Linked DNA regions of Alligator mississippiensis. The protein of the gene in region 1 interacts with the protein of each later gene in a pairwise test. Links are inferred from orthologs where the notes say so. Each region holds a gene or a part of one and is shown on either strand. Other genes may lie near its edges.

Region 1 (10,552 bases):
ACACCGCTCCCTGACCCAAGCGGGACCAGGGGTTAGTCGGGCGACTCACTTGCGATGCCCTTGGGGTGCCTGGGCAGGTGCCCATCTTTGCTCCCTGGACCCAGTGAGTGTTGGGCCTGGGGCCTGCCCTTCACCGGGGAGGTGAGGGCTGCACAGCGGGACCGGGAGCTTGCTGGTAACTGCCGGGCTCCCCAGGCTGGAGAAGCTTCCTTGTGATTGGTGGATCTTTCCCACCAATCGGGTAAGTGCTGGGAAGGGGCCTGCCCCACCCTTGCCCAGGTTAAGGGAAGAGCCCAGAGGTGGTTGAAGTCTACACCAACCTGATCCGTCCGTTTGCACTTTGGTGCGGAGCCTCTTGAGGGAATAAAAGCAGCATGCTGGCACCCAGTGGTGAAGAAGAGCTGGCCAGTGGGGTGGAGCTGTTGCCCTGAAGAGCCCGAAGACCTCTTTGTTGGCGGGGCACGGCGAGGAGCACAGCATCAGTGCATGGCTTGGTGCATGGAACAGGACCCTGGGAACTGCACAAAGTGGCTCAGGTCTGCAACCCCTGGCACAAGGCCCAGCAGTTGGTGCATAGAGTAGGTCCCTGGGAGTCGCAGAGGCAGCTTGGGTGCCTATCCTCTGGCAAGCAGCCAGGCAGACAGTGCTGGCAGCATGGCACAGGGTGGTCTGGGAGGGATCGGGACCCTGAGAGCCACTTGAGGCAGCTTGGGTCTGCAGCCCCTGGCACAAGGCCAGACATTCAGTGCATGGGCAGTGCGCAAAACCAGACCCTGGGAGCAGCACGAGGTAGCTCGGTTCTGCATCCTTTGGCACAGGGCTGTTGGCTCTGCAAGCAACACTACAGGAGTGTCCAGGCATGGGCCGACCCCCGGTGCTGCACTCGGTGCATGAGATGGTGCACAGGGCCTCCAGTGGGCAGCAGCCCAGAGGGAGCCAGTGGCCCTGGAGGCTGCACGTAGGAGGAAGCATCTTGGCCAAGGGGAGTTGTGAGTTACTGAGTAAAAGGATCCCATGGAGGAGGGGGAGATTTCTCCTGGCTAGTAAGTGGGGCTTCTGGAGGGAGGCCCAAGGAAAGAGGCCCCCCTGGAGTTCAGAGGTTTCTTTGGGTTTTGTGGAAGGCCCAAAGGGCACTAGGGATTTTCCCACTAGTCACTGGAGTGCAGCCAAGGCCTCAGGACCAGATGGGCTTTGGGGCATTTAAAGGGTTAAGTTTTTTTTAATGCTTATGTGCCGTATATTTTGTGCATGCTTATATTTGTAAGTTCACAGTTCATTAGAGTTTAGAATGTATGATCTTTGCTGGGGCCCTGCTGGGACCCTTCCCTACTTCCTGCCTGTACTTGCCTGCAACTCCAGTGGTGGTAAACAATCACATATATAGAGAATAAGTTTTATAGTTACAGGTACATATATTTACATATATTATTATGTTTGTATTTATATTTATCTTTTGATGACCTGTAAATATTAATAAATTTCTATATATTTAACTTCTGGATCGGCCTGGTTCTGTAGGGAATAGAGGGAAACTGTTTTAGTCTGCAGTTTCCACCCACAGCATACCTGCCCTGCTTACAATCCCCTTCAATTAGAGAAGAGTACATACCCGAATACACCTGAGCTACAACTGAGCTCATACCCTGCTCTGAGTGGGGAGGAACAACTGGAGATGCATGATTCCTCCTGTCACCCAGGCAAGGCCCCCTTGGCCTAAGGGATTTAGGCTTCATACTTGGTTCTAGAAGGGGAGTGTAATCTTGGGTTCCAAACCTGGGGTTAAACTCTTAGCAGGCAGGTGAGTTCTAGTAGGCTAAAGCAGGGAAGTGGGATAGGATAGGATCAGAGACCCAGTTACAACCCAGAGCTTGATCACAAGGGTGACAGCCAAGCATCACTTTTCCCCAGAGAAGAAAAGGATTTGGTGCAGATAGGTGGGGAGAACAGAAAGGTCAACAACAGTTAGCCCCTCATTGTGACTGATGACAATGAACACGAACTTCTCTTCTTCCCTGGTATTGCATTTGAAGATTCCAGAGATGCAGTTGACATGGGGCATCTCCAGGTGACAGTCTCTGCACACCAGCTAACTGTCTTGAAGGGAAGGCAGAGTGGGAGGAGGGACACACACAGCCCTGTCTCTAGCCACACAGGGAATTCTGCCTCAGTCTTCCTCCCTGCCCCGCTCCTGCTTGAGCCCACTGGGCCTCACTTCTTTCCTAGAACTGGGCATAGTACAGGCCCCTCCCTTCTGCTCGGGTGGATCAATGAGTGTTGGAGACATTGTAATCGCCCCTTAAAGTGATGTCTGTGTCTCTGTGAGGAGCCACCTAAGACACAAAGATACCCCACCCCCACAAAAAAAAAAAGCACGGTGCATCTTTTTTTTTTCCCCAAATGAAGCAGTTACTGGGTTCAGTCTCTAGCACGGGGAAAGGAGGGAAGTAATCTGGATCAGAGCAGTAGGCTGGGAGCCACAATTGGGTTCTCTTCTCCTCCCTGGGAAGAGAATGGGGTCTTGTGGGTTGAAGCGGAAGAAAAAAATAGAGGTGTGCTAGCAAAGATCTTCGGCCAAACCAATGGGGTTTGGACCTGCCCAAAAATGAAGAGGTGTTGCACATTCCAGGGCTCACAACCTCCACTGCCCTCTGGGACTACTGTTTCTCATGTCACCATCAACCACACTGTGGCTTTGCACTGCACTAACCTGGAGCTGCCAACACCTGCCCTACAGGGAAGTATGAAGCCTGGTCTGCAGAGAAAGCACCCCAGCTGGTTAACTGAACAACTGCTCCAGCTCTATATCCACAATGTCATCGGACATTGGGCTCTTCACAGTGATAACCCACCATTACCACCAATGGCCACCTGCTCCTCACAGGCCGCACAGCAAAGGGACAGCCACACCTATTGTAGAAAATGTGGCAGGAAGGCTTGCAGGCAATTCCAAGTAGCTACTGGCAGCTGCAGGGAAAGGAGAGAGGCTGGGTAGCATGTATAAGATCTGTTTCCCTTGGTTTTCTGAAGTTGGTGCTTGGTGCAATGCAAGGTACTGGAAGGGCCTATAATCCTGGTAGGTGTGCACACTCACCAGGATGCAATTACATTTCTCTGTCCCACCTCAGTCTCCTGGCCCTGATATCACCCATTCTTGGCTACCTGGAGCTCATCTCAACTTTGTTCTGTTCAGACACAGCAATATCCCCATTCCTCACAGGAAGCAGATCCACACAGAGGTTACTTAACATTGCTTTACAAAGCTTGTTCTCCACAACTGATGCAGCAAGGAGATCCTGCTGGAGCACAGCCAGCTCAAGAGAACCAGAATCTTTGCTGGTGTCCAGATGAGTCCTGGACTCAGCTGTGCCTCGGGAGGGCAGAACATATCTGGCTAGTGGAGAGATGTATAGAAGGGTAGAGTCATGGTGAGCACACAGCAAAGCAAGGCCTCTTCCATCTTGTATGGGACAATGCTACAGAAACTCACACACTTTGACGTTTTTCCGGTGGTCTGTGTCACTACCCCATGTTACCCACTACCCCAGGCTACCTTCAGGCCTGCTCTGTTGTCAAAGACTCCGTACTGCTAAGAGCAAATGGGACAGGCTGCCTTAGTCCCAAATGAATGAGCCCTGAGTTGAAAGTTTGATGACAGCCCTGGGGAGAGGGTAACCCCATGTGACTCCCTCATGGGACAAGGCAGAATTGTCATTTTCCCCACAAGAGGATGAGAACCTCTACTGGACCTCCCTCCTGGGTTCCTAGTCTAACTGGAACAAATCTGTCCTGACTTTAGGCCCCACTCCCCTCCCAAAGCCAAGGACAGAAACCAGGAGTCCTTCCCCCCCCCCCCCCCCCCCGGTCCTTCAGCTTTGATCTCCTGGAGCTCATGTTTTTTGTCAGGGCTGGGCATAGAGCCCAGGTGTCCTGACTCCCAGCCCATGCTACTGACTCCATGCCTGGGGGGATTCCTTCTAGGCAGGAACTGTTCTCTGTGTGGGCAGCTCTTGCTCAGTCTCTGCTCAGTCACCTCTGTCTACCCACATTCCCAAGAAGTTACCTGTGGGTGCCAACTCCTAGGGTATTCCAGGAGGATAAAGTTCGTCCATGGCTGTCTCTCCTCTCACTTCAGACTGCAGTTTCTACCAGCTGGAAGCTCTCTCCTACCCTGCCCCAGCACCTGCCTTTGACCCAGAGGAGCCCAGCATGGCCTGAGCCCTGCTCCTTACTGCATGTGCCCTGTTCTGTTTTGTGCTTGTAGGTAAGTCCTATCAGCAGGAGCTGCACTCAGACGTGAAACACACAGGGCTTGTCCTGCTTTTGAGGTAGGGAGGGCAGGAATTGTCTCCCCATGGCAGCGTGGCTGGCACAGGGCTCCCAGGGCGAGGACAGCAGGGGAGGCAGTCCCAAGCCTGCAGTGGGCAGCCGGCATTTGCCCCCCACCGTGGACTCTGCTCGGCTCTGCTCCAGCTATGCTGCCCGGTGATGGTGGTGGGGGCATCATCTTAGGCTCCCTGGCAAAAATATGTCAGCACCTATGCTCCTTGCTTGTCATTAGCCAGACACTCATCCTGCCCTCAGGCCAGGGGCAGATTGAAGTAAGGGAGGCTGAGGTGAGTGATGCTCAAAGCAAGCCCGCTGGGAAGTAGCATAACTGAGGGGGGCAATCTGTTTCCATGTGGGGGTGGCGCAAATAGCCACTGCTGCAGCAGCCACAATCCACATGTCACCAACCCACTCTGTCCCAGGAGCCTGCGGTTACCCCAAGTGCAGAGCTGCTCTGCTACGCCTCCGCCAACACAAGGGATCAGGGCTGGCAGGTGGTTTGGTGTGGTGGCCATGGTGTGACACATGCTCATCTCATGTCTCTCTCTAGCCAATGCTCTGGGCCCTGTGTACCTCCTGAGACAAACTGTGTGCCTGAATGCTCCGGATCCCGCCTCTCCATCTTCATCATGACCCATAAGGACTGAGGTGTCTTGCTGTCCTGTTCTTGTTTCCCTCAGTAGCTCTGGCTGCAGCGCCTTCTCCCCCTTGGCAGCCAAAGGCAACAGCCCCTCCCTTTTTCTCCCAACATTATCTTCTCACCTGCCAGCTGATGCTGATCCCAGTAGCTGACCAAGTGAAACCTCATCCCATCTTGGCCCCAAGAGCAGGAGAGTAACAACCCCCACAAGGTACGTGCCCACAGCTGCTCCTGACCAGCCTCTCCTGCCTTGTTCTGTCCTATCCTGCCCAAAGGGCATCCCGTGTCCCACCACAGCCACCTCCTGCCCGTCTCCTCAGGCCTGCCCCACAGCAGGGAAGGGGGGTGGCAGAGGGCAGCCACGTGCCCAGAGCTCAGCCCTGCTTCCCTCCCTCAGGGCTGGCAGCAGACAACCAGGTGGGCCTGAAGGTAATGGGCTGCGCTATGCCAGCGAGATATGCAAGGGGACCTGGGAGTTCAATGATGGGTAGTACATGGTGTTCAAGTGCTGCACCACCCACGACAACTGCAATGAGGGCGAGCACCTGCTCGCTGGTGCCAGGCTGAGTAGGGAGGCACTGGGTTCCCCTGAATCTTCCACCTCTCACCCCACAGCGCCCCCCGGGCCAATTACAGCAGAACCCCCCAGCCCACGCCTCCCTCTCTTTTTTTCCAGAGGGATTTTTTTTTGCAGGAAAGAGGGCAAAAGGCACTGCATCCCCCCGCCCCCAATGCGGACACCACCCCAGGTACTGCATCCCCCGCCCCTTTTGGGGACATCCCCTCCCCCCTTGTTGAGGCGTCAATTACCCCCCAGCACGTACAACATCGTGGGGGGCGGGGCTCATCTTGGTACGCTCCAAAAGGGGGCGGGGGGATGACGGCTGCCCGGGATGATACTGCAAAGTCCCCGTTGCGGGCCGCCGCCGCGTCCCCCGGGCGCTAACTTGGTCCGTCCCAGGAGGGGCCGAGGCGCTCGCTGTACTTGGTACGTTCCACGTGGATGCCTTTAGGAGCGGGGGGGGCGGGACCCGTGATTTGGGCGGTTCCACAAGGGAAAGGGGGCGGGGTGGCTTCAAGTCTGGATGGGAGGTTGCTCATTTTGGTACGGTCCACAGAGAGGCGATGGGATTTGGTCCTCTCCAGCAGGTGGGCGGGGCCCGCGCATGTGGTACGGCCCGAAAGAGGGGGTCGAAGGAATGAATGGTACGGATCACTAAGAGGGGCGGGGCGCGATGGTACGGCCCGCGATGCTGGGGGTACGTGCGGGAAATCAGTGTATTCCGTACAGCCCAGGCATGGAGGAGGGTGGGGGACGCAGGCCCGGCGTGTGTGCACCTGGTGTCGTAGTTGGGTCGGGGCGGCGGCGTGTGGTACCTTCCAGGACGGCTCGGGGCGCAGCCGGTGCGTTTGGTATATTCTACTGAGGGGCCTTTGACAGGCGGGGAGGAGAGAGGACTGAGTTCCGGTCGGGGAAGGCTTATTTCCGGTCGGAAAAGGCACACTTCCGGCTGGGGACTGGCCGCGGCCTGGTCATCGCGCCTCGTCTCCCGCCTGCTTTACCCTGGTCGCTGCGGCCGCGGCCCGCGCGTGGGAGCCGCTATGATCCTCCCGCGCCTCCTGCTTTGGCCCGCGTCTCCTGGCTGCAGCGGAGGAAACGCACTTCCGGCAACGTAGCGGAGGCTTCCGGGCCCCGAGCCAGTCCGTCACTTCCGGCGCTGGGCCCAGGCTCGGCGTCCGTGCAGGGAGGAGCGGGCGGGCCGGGCCGGGCCGGGCCGGGGCTGGGGCTCGCGCGGCCGCAGGTGAGTGCGCGGCCGGTGAGCCCCTGTCCCGTGCCCCGCCCAAGGGGGCGGGCGCGGTGCCCGGGGCAAAAGTCGCCCCTGGGACGCGGGACGCGGTGGGCCCTCCCCCCCCCCCCCGGTCCCAGCGCTGCCGCGCTGTCCCTGCTGCTGCCTGTGACCCTCGTCCCAGCCTGTCTCCTCCCCACGGCTCCGGGCAGTGCCCGCGGCCGCTGCGGGGTGCTGGTTGTGACCCTGCCACCCTCCGTCTCACTCCCCTCTGCAGCATGTTCGTCTCCAGCAGTCGGCGGCTGTGCTCTGTGTCCCCCCTTCTAAGGGGCATAGATGTTTGTGGTGGGCCTCACAGTTTCCTGCTCTCCCCCGCTGCAGTTTGGGGACGTGTGCGGTCCCCCTCACTTCCTTCCATCCTTGCCCTTGTCTGAAAGATGGGTAATGCAGGGTGTTCGGTGCTTCGTAGGGGGACTGGGCAGAGTCGAGACAGATGGGGGAATCGTCTTGCTTGGACGCTGCAGGCAATTGTAGAGGAGCCCAAAGCTGCGCTGAGAGATGACACTGGCTTCCTTATTCTTCCCCTTCTAATTTTTCAGCCCCGCCCCCCACCTCAGGTCCCTGGAGGTTCTGCTTTGCTCAGACAAGTGCTTCAGAGTCACCCCCTTACAGATCAACAAGCGTCTTGCAGCATGTCAGGCTTTCTTACTTGAAGCTGCTTTGATTTCCACGTGCAAAGCCAGACTGTCAGAGCCAAGCAACATGTACAACTTAAAAAACAGTGAACTTCTCCCCGTCACCTGCACAGTTTTGATCTCATTCACTTTCCACCTTTAACATTCAGTGTTGCTCTGCAATGGCTGAGCGCTGCATCCTGCCTCAGAGACAGCTGCGCTTCAGTGCTGGGCAAGCTCTAGGGATGTAAATATCACTTTAAAAATTAGCTGTTTAGACTCTTCTGACTATATTGGTTAACCATTTAACTAATAACACATGCCTGTGGGTTGGGTTGAAGGTCATACAACGCTGGTACAGCAGGATGGACACATTGGGCTGAGGGACTCGTGCTCTAGTACCAATAAATCATGCAAGTACTCGGCCAATGTAATTTGAAAACATAATTCATTTAACTCCACCCTAGCAAACACAAACCATGTGTCAAAAAATGTTAAATGTTAACTGTAATGCATTAATGGTATAAATATAATTATTAGAGGTGCACTGATACATTGGTCCCATAGCGGATCGGCACCGATATAAGGAAAATTGACTGTATTGGCAGTTGGTTTTTTTGCCTGATGTGGCTGATAAGGTAGCAAATAAATGCCCTGTGTATGCGCACAGCCACAGTGCAGCATGCAGGCAGCCAGGAGCACAGCCTGGCAGTTTGGAGAGCAGCCAAATCGAGCTAGTAAGTCTGTTGTGAGGGAAGAGGGGTGGGGGAAATCAAGATCCCTGGGGTGAGGGAAGGAGTGTGGCTAGGGCAAGGGACAGAGAGTGACTCCTCTGGGAAGGGCAGCTCCTGTTGCACACAACCCAGGAGGGCGTTGGGGGCATGTGCCCCGACATCTGTGGGGGGCAAGGGCAGGCTGCTGCTGAGGGCTGGGGCCAGGGGTGGCACCAGGCTGTTCCCAGCAGGGGGGTTGGGCCGGGCTGTGCTTGGGGCAGGCGCCAGTGGTGCTGGAACTGGGGACTATCGCAAACTTAGGGGTGACTGCAGCCCCCCCATAGCTACCCTCCCAGCACCACTGCTGCCAGCCCTGAGCACAGTGTAGCCCAGGACTCTTCCAGGAAGAGCTTTGCACCACTCCCAGCCCACAATGGTAGCTCACCTTTGCCCCATGCAGATCTGGGGGCACCACTACCCCCCGCCATGCCCTCATAGGGTGCGTGCAGTTCCAGGAGCTACCCCCCGGACAAGCTGCTCATGGCTTCATCCTGTGCCCCACCCTGGCTGTGCATGACCTGTCCCAGCTCCACTCCCACCCTCACTGTGGGGGCAATGATCTGCCTGCCCCCCCCCCGCCTCCCCCCAATGCCTCTTCACACGCAACAGACTTACCAGCCAGACACTGCTCTCCAAGCTGCACGGCTACATTTTGGTAATCGGATCTGTATCGACCGATATGACTTGTTCAAAGATGGCTGTTGATATCGGCTCAAAAAATTTCCATTGGTGCACCCCTAATAATGATAGTTGAACCACTTAACCTTCCTGTCCCTAGCAAGCTCTCCTTGCTATGTTCTGGTAAGATGGGTATCCCCACCCTGCTCATGCCAGAGGCAACTACATCTCTGTGTTGTGAAGCTGATCTCTATGGCTGCTGACAGACATGGGGGGGGGGGTGCCCAAAATATACAGACTTTGGGCAAGCCAGATCCAGCTCGTGCAGCACCTCTTCTGATAATGTGCTGTGCTCAGTGTGGGAGTATACAGAGTTTAAAGTAATGCCCTGTTTTTTGGTTTGTCTTTTTTAATGTCTGCAAGCAGCCTATTTGATTTTTACTCACTGGCAAACTTGTAACAGTGGGACTGGGAGAAGTGTCCCTGAGAGTTATGATATAGTACATGCCTGGGCTGGATTTGGATGGAGGATTTAGAAGCAGAAGACTCTGCCACCCCTTCCAAACCCCTCCCCCCCCCCTCCCCCCCCCCCCCAACAACTGGATTTCAGGTGATCAAAAAAAATTCTGGATTTCAGTCATCTCACTTGGGGATCTAGTCATCTGACTTGGATGTTGGAAGGCAGATGACACTAGATTTTGTGTAAGTGTGTATTATTCCCATTTTACAGCTGGAAAATGAGAGTTGGGAGGAGAGGCTTATGCTTGTTTATTGACCCAGGAGTCCTGGCTCTCAGTTCCTCTGTTAAGATGTCTCTCCTCTATTCCTAGCTGTGAGAGAACCCAAGGATAAAAACAGACAACTGGCTTTAGTTTCATGGCTAAGCTTTTGTCTTGCAGCATATCTCAGACCTTACAGACTGATGGCTTAAGTCCATTGTCCTGCATCCAGTACTATGACCATGGTCTCCTTTCCAGGGCCTTTCCTTTCCATCATCTTATTGTAGAAGGCAATTGTAGAAGATGCATTATTCAGGCCATGGGCTTGTTCAACTGGGTGGGTTTGTTTACCTGGGGCATGGCTATGCTAAGAGGCATTAATGGCTTCTCTCTCTCTCTCATTGCATGAGGTATCAGATAAAGACATTTCAAAATGTAGCATCTTTTGTAACTTGCTCTGCTGAGCTGCCAGCCTGTTGCTGTTTTCAGAATGGCAGGGGGGAAAGGTAGCAGAGGAAGTTCAGCAGTGTTCCCTCTAAGCTGTGTGGCATGTACAGGCACACTCATGCCGTGCTGCCAGGCGTGCCTGTATGGCCTGGATGCTGCGCAGTTTAGAGGAAATGCTGGAGTTCAGTCTGGGGTCTTTTCAACACCCTCCCTCCCCCCCACTGCTTTGGGAGGGGTGGGTGTATTGGAGGGGGGGGGGGGGGGGGGCTCCAATTCACCCACCCCACCCCACCCTCCAGCAAGGACTGGGGAGCCCCAGGAATGAGCTCCCTCCCAGTCTGAAAACAGTGAGCACTAGCAGAGAGCCCTGGCCTTTGCTATGGGATCTGGTTGCAGGCTCCTAGCCTGCAGCTAGATTCCCCTCCCCCTGGAATCAACAGTGAACTTCTGCTTGGTCCCAGGTAACCTTGTAATGCTGAACACTTTGCAGAAATTATTCTGAGTTGCAGCTGGGAGCTGCACTTCTGCCTGCACCAGTTATTTCAAGGTCATCCACCATCGCTTATCT
Region 2 (10,421 bases), on another chromosome or scaffold:
CTCATCACTTTTAAGTTGGCAGGGAAACAATTCACAAATATCACTTTGGAAGCTGTTCTTAAGCAACCAAAAACACCTACAAAAACCATTTAATCAGACTGTCAGCCTGTGACAAACATATTATAAACACTCCTTTATTATCTAGTTAAAAGAGCCCTAAAGTTTTATTTTAAAAAATGTAACTTAGTATTATAAAACATCTATTTTCAAGTAAAATTCAAAAGCAATAAAATATAAACCAACTTAACAGCAAGCATCTCAGGTCTAAGACTGCATTTCACCCTCTATATTTGGAGAGAACCAACTTCTTGCTATTTTTGTGATGGTGGAGTCACTAGGATGAACAAAGAAAAAATTCTGGCACATAACATAAATCTGTGATGGAACCAAACAGGCCAGTTTTTAAATCTATTAATTTTAGAAGTGGTCATTATTAAAAACAAAATCTATTTTAGACAAGTTCCCACTAACCTATCCTGTTTTCTGGATAGATTCACAACACACATTTCACAGAGGAATACAGTCCTATAAACAAATGCTCAAGTACTCTGAAACTGAACAGGACTTTTCAATAAGAAAAAAAACCTATTAAAATTTATAAATTGTCCATCTCTTCCCAAATATCAGAAGCCATTATTTTGGTCACAATCCCATATTTAAAAGAAAAATAATTAACATCAAAATTGAATGTTCAGTTTTATGATACTATGCTTCCAGAAACACACCTGAATTTGAAACCACCACTTGCATACCAAATTTATTCCAACAGAAGTTCACTTTTACCAGCAGAGATGGCAGTTATGCTGGTATGTTGGTCATACATCTTCACCCCCCTCAACCAACATGGCTATGCAAAGAGAGCCTTTAACTGAAGACCTGGCCTCAGTGACCTTATGATATCTTAACAGTGACCTAGAACTGCAAAATTCAAAACATTTTATAGTATGAAAATTTAACTGTTAGCAGAAGCGCCAAATCAAAATCAGATGCAACAGAACTTTTATAGATAATGAGATGTCTTATCCAGAAACAGTCATTTTAAATTTCTACATAAAAAAAAAAAAAGATGGGGAAAGCAGCGTTTCGCATATCTGAGGACACCCAAGTTAAATGTTTTGTTTCACTCTGTATCAAACACACTTGAAAGACACGGACCACAAGTCAACCCAACCAAATCAACCATGAATGAAAATGCCTCTGCCTTGTGCATCTTGCATGTCACCTGCTGCAGAAAGTGAACTTTAGTCTTGGCACGTAAAATTTCCAAAGACTGCAAATCAGACTAGATGGAGTCATCATAGCAAACTAAGGTCTTAACTCACTTTATACAGGCCTGGATTAGTGCCAAGAAGGGTATAAGGAAGCACTGAGTTTCAAGGTCTGGAGATTCCACTTTTCCAATGACACAACACCGATCTCTGGCTCTGGTGGGTAGTGAAGCAGATCCTTAATTCATATCATTCTCATTAAGAAACTCTTTTTGCTACACTTTATTGTCAAACCTGAGCCATTTGTATTGGAAAGCACTGCTTTTGGTGAAAGCAGCGTGCAGTCTTAGTACCTGGATAACTGGATACTTATAAACCAGGCTGACCAACTTCTGAGGTACTGGGGGCCGCATGAGTCAACCACAGGTCCCCTGGGTCACATGCTACATAGATGTTTCCCCCCTTCCTCCCCACCACTGCACCATGCACCTACTCAGGTGAACCCTCCCCACAGCTGCACTGTGCACTCACATGGCACCAGGTTCACCCTCAGCTCCCCAAGCCAAACTGCACTGCCCCACCGCCTGGGGCAGGGATAGGAAGCAGGAGATGGAGAAAGGAGGGGGAACCCAGGGACTCTGGCTGTGTTGCAGTCAGAGCAATTGATGTGTCAGCCCAACAGAAGCCCAAGAAGCACAACAGCCCTGCTATAAACTTTAACTTTCTGAGATAGAGAATCTTAAAAACAAAAGTAAAAAATGCAAACAAAACATCACTTTACAGGTATACCTCATAACTTAAGTCTGGTTATACCAAAACTAAAAGTCCTAAACAGTGGCCTTGGATATTGTATAACCGATTCCAGTAGTGGAAAAAACCAACCAAGAACAAGACACTGACCTGAGTAGCTGACAGTCCCTGCTCCACAAAGCTTATAATCTACATAGAGTTCTTGAAACAAAGTTATGTTTTATTTTTTTAAATGTTTTAAATATCAGATCTGCTACACATTTGAGAGCCTGCCTTGGCATACACCTGACCATAAATTATTCTTGTGAACAGACGCCTGAGTTTCAGATGCATTTTACTGCAAGTTGATGACAAAGCACACCAGGGAGTCCCTTAGCCTGTTTTAATAATATCCACTAATGCAAGGGGAACAAGTTTTGATGGCAGATTCACCAGGAATTGTTTTTCTGAAATTATTTAAATACTGTAGCTGTAATACAAGTCCACACTTTCTACTTGCAGTGATTTTAAGAGCTTTTACATTTTTAAGGGCTTTATTCAACATTAGATGCGAGGTATAGGATACAAGCTTCATTTGTCCTTATTTTAGTCAAACTAGTCAATCAAGACACCACTATTATGATGTGTAACATCAAATAATGACAGCACTATAGTACTTGAGAAGTGCCCAAGAAAAGGCTTCCAGAATATTCAGGATACTATGATTTTCTACCTTCTTGGCAGGCTCAAAATGAGGAGGAGCAAATATTTCTGCCTCCCCACCCCAAAATTTAGCATATTTTAAAACCATCCTGCTTCAATCATGGGATACCTCATTTGGGAACTTGGCTGCTGCACTGCACAAGAACATCCCTGAAACAGGAGAGCATCACAGAGCTCCCTAAATCCCACTGTGCCACTAAAACTTTTTCTCTGGAAGTGATTTAAACATATGGCCCTATGACTTTTTTTTCCGCATTAGCTGTTAAAAAATATTTATACACACACGTATATCACTCCACCCAGCCGGATTGAGCAATGCCATCCTCCGTACTGCACACAAACACTTCCGCCCCTTGTGAAGGCAGCGCAGGCTCTTCCAAGGCGAGGAACACAGGCCAGGCCAGAGCGGGGTTGTTGGGGGAGCAGAACAGCCAGCAGTGCCCGGGTACCGCAGCTGCCGCGCCACAGCGGCCGGGCGTGCGTGTGCATGGTGTGTGTGCGTGTCATGTTATTGCAGAAAGCCAGAGATCCCGGAAAGAGCCTGAACGGGGCGAACCCGCCGCCATCTTACAATGCGGGAAAGAAGTTACAGGCCAGAAGCGAAGGGCGAGTCGCACGGGGTACAGGCCCCGCCGGCCACGGAAGAGCCGGAGCCCACAGAAAACGGCCCCACCCTGTAAAATGGGACCCAAACGGGTGGGGGGAGATGCCGTGGCCTCAACGAGGGGCCGGCCAAGGGGAATTGCTGCCGACACCTCCGTCGAGCCCCGGAGTCGCCGCAGCGACATCGGCGCCAGCCCCCCTCCCGGGACCGAGACAAAGCCGCAGCCTCTCGCCCGGCCCGGCCGCTCCTCACCTTGTTGATGCGTTTCAGCGCCATTGTGGGTGCGGGTGCCGCCGCCGGGCCTGCCTCCGCCTCCGCTTATGCTCCGCGCCGCCGCCGGGCTCGCGCTGGGTGACGCGGCCGCTTCTCCTTCCTCCGGAAACAGCCAGGGGCGCCCGCACGGCGCAGCCCCTCCCGCCGCTGCGGACACAACGCGCCCGCGAGAGAAGCAGTGGTGAGGCCGGCCCGGCCCTGCCTTGCCCAGCCCGACCCGGCACGAGAGCGCGAGTGCAGCCGCTGCACCCGCCGCCGGTGCAAGGCCGAAAGGAGGGGGAGGGGGAGCGGGAGGGGCCACGGCTCGTGCAGGCACCGCCCCCCCTCCCGCCCCTCCCCGCCGCGGGGCGGGCCCAGCAGTGGCCGCCAACGCCCCCCCTCAGAATGGGGGGGGGGAAACGGCGGGGGGGGGCCAACCGCCGCCGCGGGCGGAGGACTTTGCGCACGCGCGGGGGGAATGTGAGGCTCCGAGCACGCAGACCCACAAGGGCGCGGGTGACGCGCTGTTCGCACGCTCATGGGGGGCGGGGAAGGAGGTCTCGCGAGAGCGAGCGCCCGCGCTCCTGTCCCTGCCCAGCGCTGCCCTGCCTTGACCTGGCCGAGGGGAAGAGGGGGGGTCGTACCTCCACCCCTCGCAGGAAGAAGCTTGTACGGGAGGGGCAGTCCCGGCTCCCTGGGGGAGGGGGAGGGGGAGATCGGCTCCGCGACTCTTGAGACACTCACGGAGCGAAGGCTCGTCCCGGCTCCCCGCGTGCCGCCACGAGCTAGGCCCCACCCCCTGCGTGCGTGCGTGCGTCAGCGTGTGCGGGAGCCCAAAATGGCGCCCGCTGCCGGATCTGCGTTGGGAGCGGCGTGCTCGTATCCCTCCGCCAGAGTGCTTTTCCGAGCGAGAGAGTCAGGCGGAAGGATGAGGGGGGACGGAAGTGGATTAGTTCAAACGGGGAGGTGCCACCTGCAGAGCGGTCGTATGGTCTCAGGTACTAACCTGAGGGCGGGTTCCTCGTATATGTGGCCTGGGAATTGCTTTGCCCGCACGTGTGTCCGCTCTCAACTTAGTGCGTGATTTACTAGTGAATTGTGTGAGACACGTGGCGAGGCAGGGGCTCCAGACTAGGCAGGAAGCCAGAAATGGGACTTTAAGGTAGAAGGAGGCACGCACAAGGCCTCGGGACTAGAGAAGACGTGATGCTTGAGGTGTGGCTTATTTTTTTACAGCCTCACCAGAGAAATGCCAAAAATGCTGAATTGCTATAACTTCCATGTTTGAGAGAGAGAGGTTGTAACCAGATGCTCCCTCAGCCTGACAAAAGGAGTTTGTATCCAAAAGCGTGCAAAGAAGAATTTTTCCAACTGTTTGGTTTAATAACAGATGGCAGAATGGCCCAAAGGACCTTGTCTGAATAATGATGATAAACCCAGAGATACACTGGCTCACCTAGTGCTGTTCTACAGGCAGCACCATGGTTTTCAACGTTAGATCCATGGGATGCTGCAGATCCAGAGGATGCGTCAAAACTTGTGGGACTCTTTTGGGGAAGGGGGTTTCCACACCCATTGATTATCTGGCTTCATCAGTGGTGGTGCTCTGTCACAGTCTCTCAATTCTTGGTGTAGGCAACTGGAAAAACAAAAATCCATTAACGAAGGTGTTTTCAGCTCTGAATTGTGTAATTTCCTTTGTGCAAGCTTAGTTATGATTAGATCTCAAAGGAGGAGCCTCAAGGTACTTAGGTAAGGCAGCAACCACGTAAGAAAGTAAAGACAAACAACGGGAAAGTTTAGAGTAGGGGACTCTTTCAAGGCAATGAAGAGAGGTTTAGTTATTAATAAATAGTAGGGCTATGCGAAGCTTTGGTGGCTGATTCGATTCGGCCTGATTCAGCGACCGAATCTCTGAATCGAATCAGGAGACCCTTTAATCTCTCAGAATTGAATCAGAAGCCTCTGATTTGATTTGGAGAGATTCAATTATTTGGCCACAGATACAGCTTTATATGTTTTTTCTACATACCTTGAGGTACCAGGTGCAGGTATTGAACACTGAGATGGTGAGGTGGATGGAGCATCCCACAGGAGGGGTCCCCCATGTGGTTGGCAGCAGACTCTTAAGTGGACCAGAAGTACATCCGGTACACTTCCAGGTTCGCTGTGGAGCACACAGGGGACCCCCCCGGCCCCCTGGCTCGGCAGCTGGTGACTCCTGGGTCTAAGGGGGCACCCAGGGTCCCCTGTGGCGGATCACTGAGCCGGGAGGGCACGGCAAGGTCCCCCACGCGCTTGGCGGTGGACCTGGAAGTGGACTACCTCTGAGCATGTGTGGGACCCCCCCACACGGTTCCATGGGACACTCCATCCGCCCCACCATCTTGGCATTCACAAGCTGCGCCTAGTACTTGAGGTACGTATAAAACGTATATAAAAACACAAAACTGTATATGGCCTAATCGCTGATTCTCCAAATCAGAATTGAATCTTCAGATTGGGCCAAATCAAATCGGGATGGTGATCTGAATCAGTGAACCAAATCACTGTCCCCCGAATCTGGCAGAATCAGAATCCGAATTGAATGCTATCTGCTTTGCACACCGCTAGTAAATATAGTCTTGAGAAATAGCAAGGATACATAATTGAGAAACAAAGCCAAGCAGCCATATTATTTTATGAATCTGAGCTTGTTTTTGTTGTGTTGACTTTAGTATTACTGTAATAGTACTGTCAAACATAAGAAAGATTCTACTTGTTGCAGAGGATATGTATCTTGTATGATAACTATTTTCCATGCCCAGTGTAGGTCTCATATCATTCCTGTTATCCCACTTTTAAATCAGTCTCTATACCAGTGGTTTTCAACTTTTTTTTAAGGAGTGTACCCCTTCTGGTGGGTACCCCTCATGGATTGTACCCCCTGGATGGGCAGGGGGGTGTCCCCCTGCGGCCAGTTGAGGGGGGGGGGCTGGAGCCCCACTGCTGGTCAATGAGCAGCACGTAGCGGCGCACTTCCAGGGTATGTGATGGCAGCACAGAGAAGCGGGGGTATTAGGAAGTCCGCTGCCATGCTTCCCAAGTACCCCTGCTTCTCTGCGCCACTGCCATGTACCCCCTGGGGTCTTCCCAAGTACCCTGAGGGGTACGTGTACCCCTGGTTAACATCCCCTGCTCTATACCATATAATTACGATATTCCACAGAACTGACCTGAACCAGTCTTTTATTAGTGTTGACAGCTTTCTAAGCCAGGGGTTGGCAACCAGTGGCCTACAGGCTGGATCTGGGCGGCAGAGCCCAGCTCGTAGACATGGGGCATCAGTAACACTTGGTGGGAGAGGCTTCTTCCTTGCTACAGCAGGGAGGAACAGTGGCAGTGGTCAGGTCCTAGCACTCACCTACCTGCATGTGATCCAAGATGTGTTGTTTTGGCCCGCAGCCCAAAAAGGTTGCCAACTGCTATTTTAAACCATTAAAGCACATTGTCATTCCTTAGAGGAGGTAGACAGTTGTGACTGAAGTGCCCCACAGTCCCTCTTAATTAATTTTCAGACTTCATGTGTTTCCCACCCTTTTTTGACTCCAAGGGTAAGTGGGGTCCTGCTTTGACCAAGGGGCTACACTAGATGACCTCGTGAGGTCCCTTCCAGCCCTGTTTTCCTATGATCCTAAGTCTTAATGACTCTGCCAAACTATTTCAATTGGCTGTTGGACCACACACAAGCAATCACATTTTTCATGAAAAATTATAAAATGGTCCCTTTCTGAAAGTTGACTGGCTTCTGAATAGCCCTATTTGGGATAGCAGACTTACGTTGTTAATCTTTATGTAACATAGTAAAGAGTGAAAATGGAACATGAAAAAAGTCATGCTACTTAAATTTCTTATTTCAGTATTTATATTAAAAACATATGTTTTCAAATCAAGTGCATGGAATGAAATCTTGAGAATGTTTAATAAAATAATTACTGAGCACACAATGTACATGGTGAATTAAACCTATAACTAACAGCCACAATTTAAAAAAAATGTAATGTAAAACACTGTTAACACAATGCTTGATAATTTAAATGCACTAAAATCATGAATATTTTTATTTATACAAGATTATTCAGACTGAAAACATGTCCTTCCCTTTCCCGCCCTCCCAATTAATTTACCCTTCAGACTAATAAGGAAACTGTACTTTTGTTAACTTTTAAAATAATTAATATTTAGTATTTAATTGATAATAGTGAGAGCACTCACAGGTAATGGTTTACAGGGTGAGGCTTAATATAGATTTGTACTTAGCACAGGTGAGTGGTTGCAGACCTTTGACATAAGACATTTGATGACAGGCAGCAATAAAAACATGCTAGTGGGAATAGTTACAATTTCTGGATTCAATTAAAAGACAGTCTTAATAAGCTGTTGGGTAGTGGGATTGTTATTCATGTAATTTGGCTAGTCCCTATATGCCTTTTCAGCCTGCTGTAATTGTTATTAAATCTGCTATTAAATCTAGAAATAACCTTTGATTCCCTCCCCTATCCTCTGCCATAAACAATAAAACAAATAGGTAATGGCTTTAATATGACAGGTGGCTTAGAGGCCTCTAGCTCATCATAAAGGAGTTCCTGAGTACCTGCTCAAGAGATTTTTCTTGTACCATCCTACCACGTGTGGATTTTGAAAAGGGGTTATAGATGGTGAGGTGCATCAACCCATATAACACAATACATATTTTTCTACAGTTAAAAATAAACTAGAAGCTTTACTACTATGCTAGGGGCCTAGGGCTGTATTATTCTGTTTAAGATTGAAGAAAAAACAAATACAACTCATAGGAATAAGTTAAAAACAATTTGCACTGCTGTGAAACAGGAGCTTCATTACCAGAAGCAGCTAACATACAGCAGAACTGCAGAACAAAAGCTAGCTTGATTGGTAGAACATCAAGACTATTGAAAAGAAGAGAGGGTCATTAACACCTGTGGAATGAAAAGTTTAGAAGGGATCAAAAGGCAACTGAGTGTAGTGAATGAAAACTGAGTGCCTTCTCGACCACGGTAATGTGGATGGCTGCTTCTAGTTCCAATGTAGCTTCAGGCCCTTGTAGCACTGCTAAAAAAGGGAAGTTTAGACAGAAAATATGTCCACTTAATAGTAGAAGCCACAGAACAACAGAATAGGCTTGCAACAGTGTTGGTTCAGACATCCAGAGTTTGTTATGGAAAATTGTTGATAGAATAAAAATGCTGCAAAACACAACAAGAAGATGGGTTTGTCACACTAGATCACTCAACTAGTCTTTTCTTGATTTATTTTTATCCAAAATTCCAGAAAATTCCAGTTCCTGCTAAAAGATTTTCTGAGTTTAGAAAACAACTCTTGTGTCAAAGGACCAGAAATATGGCAGAAAATGTTAAAGAAACATCACTAAATACACAGCATGGAGTACCCAGCAACTGATTGGGCTTGTTTTAATGTAGGGATAATGTATCTGTTTTATTCATAGATGTGTGATCCAAAGTCTGTTTAAGTCAATTGCTGCCATTGTGAAACAAAAAAGATCCATGAGGAAGAATGGACAATGCAGTTTTTTGTAAATAAAAGTTATGCCATTTTTGTGAGGTAAGACAGTAGATAGCTAAGCTGTAAAAGATTTTTGCATGTTAGTGGGCTCCCCTTGAGTCCATGACAACCCTACAGCAAGGTGTGCCATAAAAGTGGTTGTAGGTAGGAACAGGACTAGTGTTTTTGTAATTCATAGACTTACCTCTGAGAGGGTAACAAAATTTAGAGCACATATGAGAGGACCAAGACTGGACAAACAACTTGGAGCCACTAGCCCATGGCACCTTTACCTCAAGGGCCATCATTCCCCTTGCGCAGGGGAGGAAGAAGAGCCTTGAGGCCCACGCTCTCCTCTAGGTTCCAGCACAGAGACTGCGTTAAGCAGCAGAGGAACATGCCTTCCTTTCTCTACCTTTCCAGCTTGGGCATCTTGCTCTTCCACCGGTTTGCTAATACCCCTAGAGCAGCCAAAACCTTTCCACCTGTTACCCCTATATTACCTCAGCTGCAGTCCCTTATGATAGTTGTTTCTAATGCACTGCTTGGTCACAGCTGGAGAAGGTAATTAGGTTCTTTATTAACCCTTCCAGGCTACTGCTGTTTAGGGTATATACCAGATAGTAGGAAGTTTAAATTTCTGTTATGGAAGTTCAGTAATACTTTTTACATAGAAGGTCCCAGTTTGCTTAAATACATGGTGTGACAGTGGGGAGGAAATGGAAGAAGAATCTTACATGCCGAGTCAGAGGGAAGCAGTGAAACAGCGCTGAGAAACAGCACCAAGAAAATAGACGAGTGCTGGGGAAACCCCAGTGCCAGCATGGTCACACTTCATAAGCGTATGCCACCGGTGTTTCAAGAGGAAGAACCCTGTGTCCAGGTTAAAAACCCTCTGAGGAGATGGATGGACTGGAAGTGAGGTCCAGAAGTCCCAGGAGGGGCAAATGGTGGAAAGCAGCCTGTCGGCAGCAAGCCCACTGAGGCAGCTTGGAGGAGCCGAGTGACTTATCCGCACATTTGTCTTGGCAGTTAGGGACAGACGTTTGGGACCTGAGCTGGAAAGCTCGACCTGAAATGGAAGACAGAGAAGAGTTGCGAGTACAGTCGGGGGCAAGAGTGGCTTACAATGCTCCATTCTGACTGCGGACCCTGAAGTCAGAAGGGTCTCACAGGACAAGGACCTGGGTGGTCCAACTCCAAGATAAAGGACTATGAGAAGGGACTAAGCCCCAGAGTGATCTTTGAGTTGTGTATTGTTTTTGCTTTATACATTACCTACCTCAGCAGGCACTATAAGAGAGCATAGTCTTTGTGGACTTGGACATTTATTTAAGACCTTA
Region 3 (10,976 bases), on another chromosome or scaffold:
ATGTGGCACCCACAAGGACAGCCCAGCCTGAAGGAGGAGAACATTGGAAACCTGAAAGCCATGGGGAGACCAGCACTACAGAACAGGTAAGAAACAAGAAGGTAAGAAACAATGGGCCCCTTGGGACTCGGAGCGGGGGGGCAGCAAAGGCACCAGTCGCAGGGCTCAAGTGCCTATATACTAATGCTAGGAGCATGGGGGAACAAGCAGGATGAACTAGCGCTCCTGCTTGCACTAAACACCTATGACTTAGTGGGGCTAACAGAGACCTGGTGGGATTCATCCCGTGACTGGGCGGTACATATTGACGGCTATAGATTGTACAGAAAGGACAGGTCGGGGAAGAAAGGGGGGGGGGGGGGGCTGCACTTTATGTCAGTGAGCAATATACATCAACCCTCATCAAGACAGAATCCAAGGTCGAGGAAGTAGAAGGATTGTGGGTTAGGCTACATGGGGGGCAAGGAGAAAGGGATTTGGTGGTAGGGGTCTGCTACAGACCCCCACACCAAGGGGAAGAAATAGATGCGGGGCTCCTGAGGCAACTCTCGGAGACCATAAAAGCTAGAGGCGGTAGTCACGGGGGACCTAAACTACCCGGACATCTGCTGGGAGACGCAGACAGCAAGGTCCCATCGCTCACGCAGGTTTCTAACCTGTGTACAGGACCTCCACCTGACACAGGAGGTGCATGGTCCCACTAGGGGGAATGCCATACTGGATCTGGTATTGGCAATGGGAGATGACATGATAGGGGACCTCCAGATCGGTAGCCATTTGGGAGACAGTGATCACCTAATAATAGAATTCAACATAAGACGTCGAGTGGGTAAGTTAACTAGTAGGGTGAAAGTGCTAGACTTTAGGAAAGCTGATCTCAATGCACTCAGGCGATTAGTCAAGGACGCACTGCAGAGTAGGAGTTTTGAAGGGATGGGAGCCCAGGAAGGGTGGCTGTGCCTTAAGGAAACGATCCTTCGGGCACAAAGCAAGACAATCCCCGAGCGAGGCAAAAAAGGGAAAGGGGCCAGGAGGCTTCCATGGCTGACCAGAGATATCCAGGGCAGCCTAAGGGCCAAAAGGGGAGCACATAAAAAGTGGAAACAGGGTGAGATCACTAAAGTTGAATATACCTCCTCTGCTCATGCTTGTAGGGAGGCAGTTAGGCGGGCCAAAGCTACCATGGAGCTGAGGATGGCAACCCAAGTAAAAGACAACAAGAAATTGTTTTTTAGATATATTGGGAGTAAAAGGAAGGCCCAGGGAGGAATAGGACCCCTGCTAAATGGGCAGAAACAATTGGTGACAGACAGGGGGGACAAGGCTGAACACCTCAACGAGTTCTTTGCCTCAGTGTTCCTAAGTGAGGGGCACGACAAGTCTCTCACTGGGGTTGTAGAGAGGCAGCAGCAAGGCGCCAGACTTCCATACGTAGATCCTGAGATGGTGCAGAGTCACTTGGAAGAACTGGATGCCTTTAAGTCGGCAGGCCCGGATGAGCTCCATCCGAGGGTGCTGAAGGCACTGGCCGACATCATTGCAGAGCCACTGGCGGGAATATTCGAACGCTCGTGGCGCACAGGCCAAGTCCCGGAGGACTGGAAAAGGGCCAATGTGGTCCCCATTTTCAAAAAGGGGAGGAAGGAGGACCTGGGCAACTATAGGCCAGTCAGTCTCACCTCCATCCTTGGTAAAGTCTTTGAAAAAAATTATCAAGGCTCACATTTGTGAGAGCCTGGCAGGGCAAATTATGCTGAGGGGAAACCAGCACGGGTTTGTGGCGGGCAGATTGTGCCTGAGCAATCTAGTCTCTTTCTGTGACCAGGTTACGAAATGTCTGGACACAGGAGGAGGGGTGGATGTCGTATACTTAGACTTCAGGAAGGCCTTCGATACGGTATCCCACCCCATACTGGTGAACAAGTTAAGAGGCTGTGATGTGGATGACTACACAGTCCGGTGGGTGGCGAATTGGCTAGAGGGTCGCACCCAAAGAGTCGTGGTGGATGGGTTGGTCTCGACCTGGAAGGGTGTGGGCAGTGGGGTCCCACAGGGCTCGGTCCTTGGACCGATACTCTTTAATGTCTTCATCAGCAACTTGGACGAGGGAGTCAAATGTACTCTGTCCAAGTTTGCAGATGACACAAAGCTATGGGGAGAAGTGGACACACCGGAGGGCAGGGAACAGCTGCAGGCAGACCTGGATAGGTTGGACAAGTGGGCAGAAAACAACAGGATGCAGTTCAACAAGGAGAAATGCAAAGTGCTGCACCTAGGGAGGAAAAATGTCCAGCACACCTACAGCCTAGGGAATGACCTGCTGGGTGGCACAGAGGTGGAAAGGGATCTTGGAGTCCTAGTGGACTCCAAGATGAACATGAGCCGGCAGTGTGACGAAGCCATCAGAAAAGCCAATGGCACTTTATCGTGCATCAGCAGATGCATGACAAATAGGTCCAGGGGAGGTGATACTTCCCCTCTATAGGGTGCTGGTCAGACCGCAGTTGGAGTACTGCATGCAATTCTGGGCGCCACACTTCAAGAAGGATGCGGATAACCTGGAGAGGGTCCAGAGAAGGGCAACTCGTATGGTTAAGGTCCTAGAGACCAAGCCCTATGAGGAGAGATTAGAGAAACTGGACCTTTTCAGCCTCCGCAAGAGAAGGTTGAGAGGTGACCTTGTGGCTGCCTTTAAGTTCATCATGGGGGCACAGAAGGGAATTGGTGAGTATTTATTCACCAAGGCGCCCCCGGGGGTTACAAGAAATAATGGCCACAAGCTAGCAGAGAGCAGATTTAGATTGGACATTAGGAAGAACTTCTTCACAGTTCGAGTGGCCAAGGTCTGGAACGGGCTCCCAAGGGAGGTGGTGCTCTCCCCTACCCTGGGGGTCTTCAAGAGGAGGTTAGATGAATATCTAGCTGGGGTCATCTAGACCCAGCACTCTTTCCTGCTTATGCAGGGGGTCGGACTCGATGATCTATTGAGGTCCCTTCCGACCCTAACATCTATGAATCTATGAATATCAGTAATCAGGACAAAGATATGTTCTTTCAGTTTGATCACTTAGACCCTCTGAATGTTTACATATATGCCTAATATTAAGCATGAGAGTAGTTCTGTTGACCTTGTGATAGATGTATGGAATTGGGATCTTAGCTCCTTGTTCACCACAGGCTCATTCACTTCTTTCAGAAGCTGTTTGTAGTCACAGTAGTGCTTACTTTGGTTGACCTCCCCCACACACCTGTAAGGGAACACACACACATCCTTTCTTTGGAAGGCTTAGGAGATTATAAAATTAATTAGAAACATTTACAGAGTTCAAAAACAATAGAACTACAATATTTATAGTGATAAACTGAAAAATGTGCTTGCACTGCTGGAACCTAAACACAAAAGCATGAAAAGCAAATCTTAATCCAAAAGCAAATCTAATGATGAGGTGCAACCGAATAGTCTCATTTCATTCCGAGGATGGCAAAGGACAGAAACAGCAGAGACAGTGAAAATGTTAGACTAAATTAGGTTCCTATATATTTTGTTGTAATAATCTAAGGTATTGTTATCAGCAGTTCACATACTTGTAAGACTGGTTTAAAGGGTGTTTTTTTTTAAATATTCTAAATCCATTTTTAGCAACCTATAGGAATGATTAAGGATTTTTTTCTTTAGTGTCCTTTTGACTGTTTCAAACCTTAGCTAATTATTTCTAAATATTCAATTCTAAAGGGAAGTTGCTGTTTTGTTTTCAATTTTACTGCTATTATAATTATTAATTCATGCTTTGATATTGTAGCTACCTAAAGAAGAGATTATATGGCTCAGGTACAGTGACACAACTCTTCACTTTGCAGGTGGTGGTTTGAATCCAATCCTGACTGGAAGTGCTCAGAGGTGACTTTTGGGATGAAAGCTAGATGACCACTGGATAAAAGCTACATGAAATGCACAGGTGTGCTTGCTTACCCATCACAAATTAGCATTACAATCTATGCTTGTGTTAGTATTCTCATAGAGGAGGACGGTAGCTGAATAGGAAATGAACGGCTCTCTACGGTGACATGTACTTTTCAGGCCAGGGTTGTGGAGCAGTGGCAGGGCATTACCTAAAAATCTTGTCCTGCTGGTAATCATACTGTAACCACTAATAGTGTAGAGAAATGTATTCTTTGGGCCTGTCAAGACTGGTGTTTTTCAGGAGCAGTACATTTACTTACGCAATTTAAGAATTGGTTCTCTTTAAAACACTATTGTTATCTTGACATCTTCAATAAGCCTGCCACTTGACACATTATATATTATTTTTCGCTATCACAGATAAAACATAGGTTATGTGATTGTTCAAATCATTAATATAGAACTGTAAAATGATCCAAGTATGCTTTTACCTAAAACTTGGTATTTTAAGGTTAAAAATATGTAATTGTAACTAGGCATTACAGAAACTTTTTTTCTGAGCCTGCTAAGGACAATTTAATACAACTCATTTTACAGTGTGTGGCCAGAAGCATTTTTTACTGTATTTGATGCACAACCAGGGTATTTGTTTTCTCAGGGGCTTCAGTTATTTCAGTTGCTTTCACTGTTTTTCTGGCAAAGTTTCATCTCTACTATCTCTCTATTTTCAAGAAATGATGGACAAGAGCAGATATTGTGCAATGAAGTCAGTGGCAAAACTTCCAATGATTTGTGGTGGAGGAGGCCACATGCCCTTTGCAAGGTGAACACACACTTTCATACCTCTCTGAACAACTTGAAAATGTACTTGTCTACTCAGGTGCCCAGCTAAAGTTCACAAGTAGAACCCAACATAAAAACATCCAGTCATGTTCACAGAGCTCTGACCTACTCACTGCTCAAGATTAATCCACTACTGAAGATTAATCATTTAATAATAAATCTGGATGCAAGTAAATATAGAGAAAGCAACTTCAAAGAATGCTTCGGCCTTGAGCAAGGGGTCGGACTAGGCGACCACCCGAGGTCCCTTCCAACCCTTTCTATGATTATTAGAAACAGAAAGCACTCTGACAATGTCCTTTCACACAAATGTTGCCTTTCTTTTGGTAGTGTGATGGAAAACCAAAGGGCTAAAAGCAGTAGAAGTTTGTGCAGCCTTTTATTAATGCCACTCTTGTTTACCCCAGCAGCAGTTCATCTAGGCTAAAGGATGTATGATGTTTGGGACAGGCATTCCCTTTTTATTGGTTGATTAGAATGGGAGTCATACCATGCTAGGCAGCCAATTGAGGTTTTAGGTACTATTCAAATAATCATTAGTAATGGTAGGAAGGATGAACGTTTGAGATGAGACCAGGCATCTAGCTTGCCTCTGGCAAATTGTCACCTGACCCTGGGAAGAAGTGCCAGCCAAAACAGTGGTATGTGACAGCAGCCTGCCACTGAAAAGGCACCAGTCCTGAATGGAAATCAGGGATTAAACATGAGACCTGTCCAGGGCCAGTTCTTAAGCAGAATGGCTCAGAAACATGGCAAGATTCAGTTGGGTGGTTTTTTTGTTGTTTTTTTTTTTTTTTTTTTTAAGGGTAGCAAAGCTTGTGCAGTTTGTCATACTCTGAATTGTATTCGATTCCCCAAGTTTGTGTATACAGCATGTTGAAAATGTACACCTGGATTGCATCAAGGCAATAAGGGAGTTCCCCCATTGTTTTGCCAAACTACCTTAGTTGCCTGGGTCAGCGAAGGGATGACACAACAACGATTCACCTATTGGCTCCCTCCAACTAATGAGACACTTCCTCAGCTTTGGGTCGGCAGATTTGTTTCAACAATGGGCCAGGACCATCTCCTTCCCCTCGGGGACCCACCTGCAGCAGCCCACTAAGGGCAGCAAGCAACCAGTTTACGGCAGGTAACACTTAACAGCATGGGTCGTCCTTGGCCAGAAGTCATAGGAAATCGAGCAGCAGAGCCAGCTGAAGTGGATGGCTCCCGAGTCCCCCATCGAAGTGTCTGCTCAGGTGTGACCAGGGGTGCTGGACAACGGGACGGGCCTGCAGTGACCGGGGGAAGTGACGAGGATCCTGGGCAGAGCCTGGAGGCAGCGAGAGGCTGCAGCCTGCGCCTCGGGGTGCCCGCGCGTGCAGAGGGGAGGCCCAGCCCGGCTGGCAGGGGCCTCGGAGCCGCCCGCCCCCAGGAGGCGCCACCCACGCGGGGCCCGCGCCCCGAGGCGCCTCCCGCCTGCCACGCGGCGGCTTCGCAACCCCGCGGGCCCCGGCTCTGCGTGGCGCACCAGCCGGGTGAGCCGCGGCCCCGCGGAACGGGCCGGAGGCACAACACCTCCCACCCGCCCGGCTCGGGCTCCCGCGGACCTCCAGCCCCGCCCCGCCCGCACCCAACGCGACGGCCACACAAAGTCTCCCACCCCTTAGCCGGAACCTCTCTTCTTCCCTTCTCGCGAGAAGTCATCTCACCCCCCTCTTCAACAGCTCATATCCTTCCGCCGCCGCGCTCCCCTCCCCCTTCTGGAGAGTTCTGCGTGCGGGGGGAGGGAACAGAAGTAGTCCCCGTGCCCGAGCGAGCCCCATCACCAGGTGCGGCGGCCCCTCCGCCTGGCCGCCCCGCTGCTGGCTGCTGGGCTCGCGGCGGAGTGATACGCTCGCAGGCAGTAGGGCATAAAGGGCCCGCGGAGGGATGCGCTAGGATCTGCAGCACCGAGGAAGCGCTGAGCGCCGCCGGGGGAGCTGAGCGCGAGGCCCGCCCGCCGCTGCCGCACGGACACCCGCGTCTCCCGCGCTCCTCCCCCCGGAAAAATAATCCCAATCCCCTCCTCCCTCCCTCCCTCCTCCCTCCCCCGCAGCGGCCGAGCCCAGGGCCCCGCGCGCCCCTTCTCCGCGCACCGCCCGCGCGCACCCGCGCACACACCGCACTCTCTCGCTCTCGCACACACACAAACTCTCTCTCACACACACACACGCACACAATGGCGCTGAAGAGAATCCACAAGGTAAGGGCCGCTCGCAGGGGAGCGCCGCCAAGGCCTGCGCCGGGCCTGGGCCTGGGCCTGGGCCTGAGCCTGAACCCGGGCCCGCAGCTCGGCCTGGCCGCGCCGCGCCGGGGTGGGGGCGATGCCGGCTCAGGCTGCTCCGCTCCGGGCCGAGCGCACCTGCCTGCGGCGGCTCCGCTCCCTTATGTAATGCGCGGCCTGGCCCGGCTCCCGCCGGCGCTTGCTGGGCGGAGGGGGCGCCGCGATGCTCTCGTGGGGCTCCCGGGCGCGGGGCAGGGCCGGCCGGGCCTTGCGGGCCAAGCTGCCCCGCGGTGACCCGGCCCGGGCCGCCCTCCCCTCCCCCCTTCTTGTCTTAATTTTGCTGTCTCGGCCCCCGGGGGATGCGGGGAGCAGCTGAGTCCCAGGGCTACCGAACCCAGGAGCCCAAATTTAAGAGCTGCAGGACCAGGGGAATGGTGATATTGCCAGAGGAGAAAGCGAAAGCCCAGAGACCACAACCGAAGCCACTCTGAGGCTGGCTTGTCTCGCTCCCTCCCCCGCGGAGGTCTGGGAACACTTTTTGGGCAAAAGAAATGCCCTACAGCCCTAGCTGGGCCATGGTTAGAAGTGCTGCTTGGGCTTTCTTAATGATTTCAAAGAAATTGGTTTTTGGGGCAGTCTTCCTACAACAGCTAGAAACATGTCTGTAGATCACAGTTGTTTTGCTCTTTATTTGGAGGTCTCTTCGTGGTCAGCGCAACTCACTTCAGTTTTACCTGTTTAATTTATTAGTGATCAGTGACCTAGAATGAGGTGGTGACTCTTTTTTTTTTTTTTTTTTAGAAGTTCCTTTGTAGTATCTGGTGAGGTAAGCTGATGCCTACGAAAGCTCTGATTTACTGAGTCTATAAGGGGAAAATCTGCCCTGCCTTCTGCCCAACTCTTCTTATGCTTTGGAATAGGAAGCATCTTAGAGTCTTAGAAAGGCCCTAAAGTTTTGAAGTTTCCTTTCCACTGACTGATGCCGAAGGTGCTTTCTCTCTTCTTTTTGACCCTTGAATTAATCATTTTCATAGGAGTTGCTCTTCAGGAAAGACTTATCTGTGTTCAGGAATAACTTGTCAGGTGTAATATTTTTTGTTCAACTTCATACTAGTTTAGATCTCATCCTAAAAGCTGATTGGTTAATAGGTGAAAAATAATTCCTCAGCATTTATAACTGTACTGTAGGCATGACTTCACCTCCTACCCCTTCCCCTGATGTAGACATGGTTTATTTCTTTTGCTAGTACAGATTTTCTTCCTGGGGTACAGTTGAAAAGTCACTCAGCATGCCATAAGGTATAGTAGGAAAATAACTCCTCTTGATGTTATAAATTGTACCTACGCTAGGGGGTTGGGGGAGTTGCCTAGAAAAGGCCTGCTACTATGCTTGACTGTTAAAAATTGAGCAAAAGTACCCAATACGAATCCTCAGCTTTATGAGGAAATGTGAATGCATATAGCAGTTGCATCTTATGAAGAGCTACTGCAAAACAACAAGCATATCTGTAGCATTCACTAATGTAAAGAGGTGCTGTAGCAAAATGTAACATTTACTTGGCTACTGGCTAAATTATCCTCATCTTCACTTCTTTTTAATTCTTTGATTCATCTTCCTTCTCTTTAATTCTCAGATTGAAAAGTATATTTTCATTAACAAGCTTCAATATGTAGTGTGTTAATTTTTTTAATATGGTTTGTTTTATTAGGCCACAGTGGCAAAAGTGGTCAGTTACTGGGAGAGGAAGTGATCATGGTTATCAATCCATTAATTTTAAACCCATTCATTAAGTCAAAATAGGATGCAACTTGTATGCCATTCTGAACTGGCTGTTAGTTTCATTAGAATAGTCAATTGACATATTTGCAAAGAACTGCCCATAAAACAACTTTGTTTTTGTAGACCAGGAACTATACTAAAGTGCCATGTCCAATCTTTTTCTAGAAAACTGGCCTGACTCGTGTTTTCTTGTACCAAGGCGAACGTGCACAATTCTTAGGTGCCCGTTGCTGTAGGACCAAATAAAGAACAGGATCTGTTAAAGCCATCTATCCATCTATTAAAGAATTTCTTACAATTTAGGTAGACAAACATGGCATCCTTCTTCGAAAGGTGTGGCTTTTTGCCCTGAACTCATGACTTTGAAGTCTGAACTCCTGTGCGCAAACTTCTTGTGTGGTTTCTAGTCTGAGTTACTTATTTCTAGCTGATGAAATAAACAAAATATGAATCTGTTAGCTGATTTGGGGATCTTTGTGGTAATTTCTGTTCTGGTGTACTCAGCACCAGTACTGAATCAAGAATGCAGACTTTGGACTGGCTGTAACTACAGGACAGTGTTCTTAAGCTTCCTTTAGTATCTTTTATTGATCATGTTGAAAAGCAGCTTGAGTGCCAAATACAAGCCTTTTGCAAAATGATACTAAGATTAAGTTTCATATACATTTAAGGACTTATTTACATGAAGAAATAGATGGGCATAATTATATCTGCTAGGGCTGTAATTTCCTGTGTGGATGCTTGTTTCAAAACAAGTCATCACAGTTAGTGATACCTGTACATTTCACTAACAAGAAAAGCCCTGAAATGTCACATGAAAACCATTTCTTATTTTATTTTTATAAATGTTAGGCTTTGGGTGGGCAACCTGGGCATGAGTGCCACAAGTGGCACAAGTAAGCCTCTGTGTATGGCATACAGGTGATCAGGGAAGGGATTGGCAGCACAGCAACAGAAGGTAGAGCAGGAGATCAGGCAGAGAGCACAGGGCAAGAAATGGAAGACGGAGCAGCAAATTGATGCCCTTCCTCTTAGAGTGGTATTGAGGGGCAGGGGTAGGGCTAATGTGGTATGTTGCCAAAAAAAGTGCCCCCCCCCCCCTCCCCCCGCGCTATGTCGGAGGAGCATTGTGTTCTGTACAGGTCAGCTATTTTATATGCATATTACTTCTTTTGACTAGTTTAGCTTTCAGCAGGTTTAAGTTCCAGTTTTACACACCATTGCGCTGCTCTAAAATCCATGTTGATCTTGTTAACATGACTGAAATGATTGAAATAGTTCTCTGCAGTGTACTTGGGTCTTTCAAAATCTCCAGGAGTCCATGGCTTCTGCAGAGTTGTCAGGATTTGAGAAATACATAGAGAAAATTACTGTGAACTTTACTAGTATAACTGTCAGGGAACACATTTTTGATAAACAGGAACATGTGGGATACTACTGTGTGTGTGAGGGACTTCATGCAATCTTGATATTTACCCCAAGTTGGGCCATAGTGTGGCTTAATTCAGTATGTTTCTAAGAATAATACCTTCCTTCAATTTCAAAAGTACTTTTAAGAAACTTTTAAAAGAGATTTTTTTATAAAGATGGAATTGTGAAACTGGAATATTTTAATTTGTTCATCATGCTGGTCTTGCTTTCAGAGATGAGAATTCCACAGAATTATAGGACACCTAGAGAAATTATATAAACCAAATATTAGGCCTAGACCAGTGGTTTTCAACTTTTTTAGACTCAAAACACCTCTTGGACAACGTTAGATCTTAGCTTTCACTCTTATTTTTCCACAGTAAAAGAAAAAAAGAGAGAGAGAGCAATGTTTCTTTTGCAGAGAACTCGGACCACAACAGGTCATAATGTTTTTGATGCTGTGGATTCCTATTTGAAATCTCTAAGCTGATATAGAATCATGTGTAGGTGTTTGTATGCCTACAGTGTTAATTTTGAATGGCACTCTTAAAAGGATCTTCCAGTGTCATCCTGCTGAGAATCACTGGCCTAGGTGACTGTAGTCTCTAAATATTTAAAAGTACCTACAGCCTGTGTGCTGTCATTAAAGTAACTGTATTTAGTATGTTGGACCTCATAGGAGGCATTTCACTAGAGTAAGATGAAAATTGAGTAATGTTAACTTTAAAACAGGAGTTGGTACAGGAAGAAGGGGAAGGACTTTACTTATGTGTAGAGCTTAGGCCTTCTCACAT

What was found. The genes of interacting proteins can lie anywhere in the genome.
Region 2: the proteins of TRIM39 (region 1) and UBE2D3 interact in binary tests that used the Homo sapiens proteins (3 or more experiments, as listed by UniProt). The link is inferred for Alligator mississippiensis from reciprocal best matches to the Homo sapiens genes TRIM39 and UBE2D3.
Region 3: the proteins of TRIM39 (region 1) and UBE2D2 interact in binary tests that used the Homo sapiens proteins (3 or more experiments, as listed by UniProt). The link is inferred for Alligator mississippiensis from reciprocal best matches to the Homo sapiens genes TRIM39 and UBE2D2.

Annotation. Positions count from the first base shown.
Region 1 is NC_081834.1:53,844,192-53,854,743, reverse strand, and holds the start of TRIM39 (E3 ubiquitin-protein ligase TRIM39), read left to right. Parts: upstream 1-5,861; 5' UTR 5,862-5,954; intron 5,955-6,050; exon of another isoform or gene 6,051-6,172; intron 6,173-6,243; exon of another isoform or gene 6,244-6,768; intron 6,769-10,552.
Region 2 is NC_081825.1:163,315,980-163,326,400, forward strand, and holds the start of UBE2D3 (ubiquitin-conjugating enzyme E2 D3), read right to left. Parts: upstream 4,352-10,421; 5' UTR 4,261-4,351; intron 4,242-4,260; exon of another isoform or gene 4,161-4,241; intron 3,819-4,160; exon of another isoform or gene 3,685-3,818; 5' UTR 3,541-3,684; coding exon 3,517-3,540; intron 1-3,516. UniProt on the Homo sapiens protein: Accepts ubiquitin from the E1 complex and catalyzes its covalent attachment to other proteins. In vitro catalyzes 'Lys-11'-, as well as 'Lys-48'-linked polyubiquitination.
Region 3 is NC_081832.1:44,786,298-44,797,273, reverse strand, and holds the start of UBE2D2 (ubiquitin-conjugating enzyme E2 D2), read left to right. Parts: upstream 1-6,625; 5' UTR 6,626-6,947; coding exon 6,948-6,971; intron 6,972-7,793; exon of another isoform or gene 7,794-7,818; intron 7,819-10,976.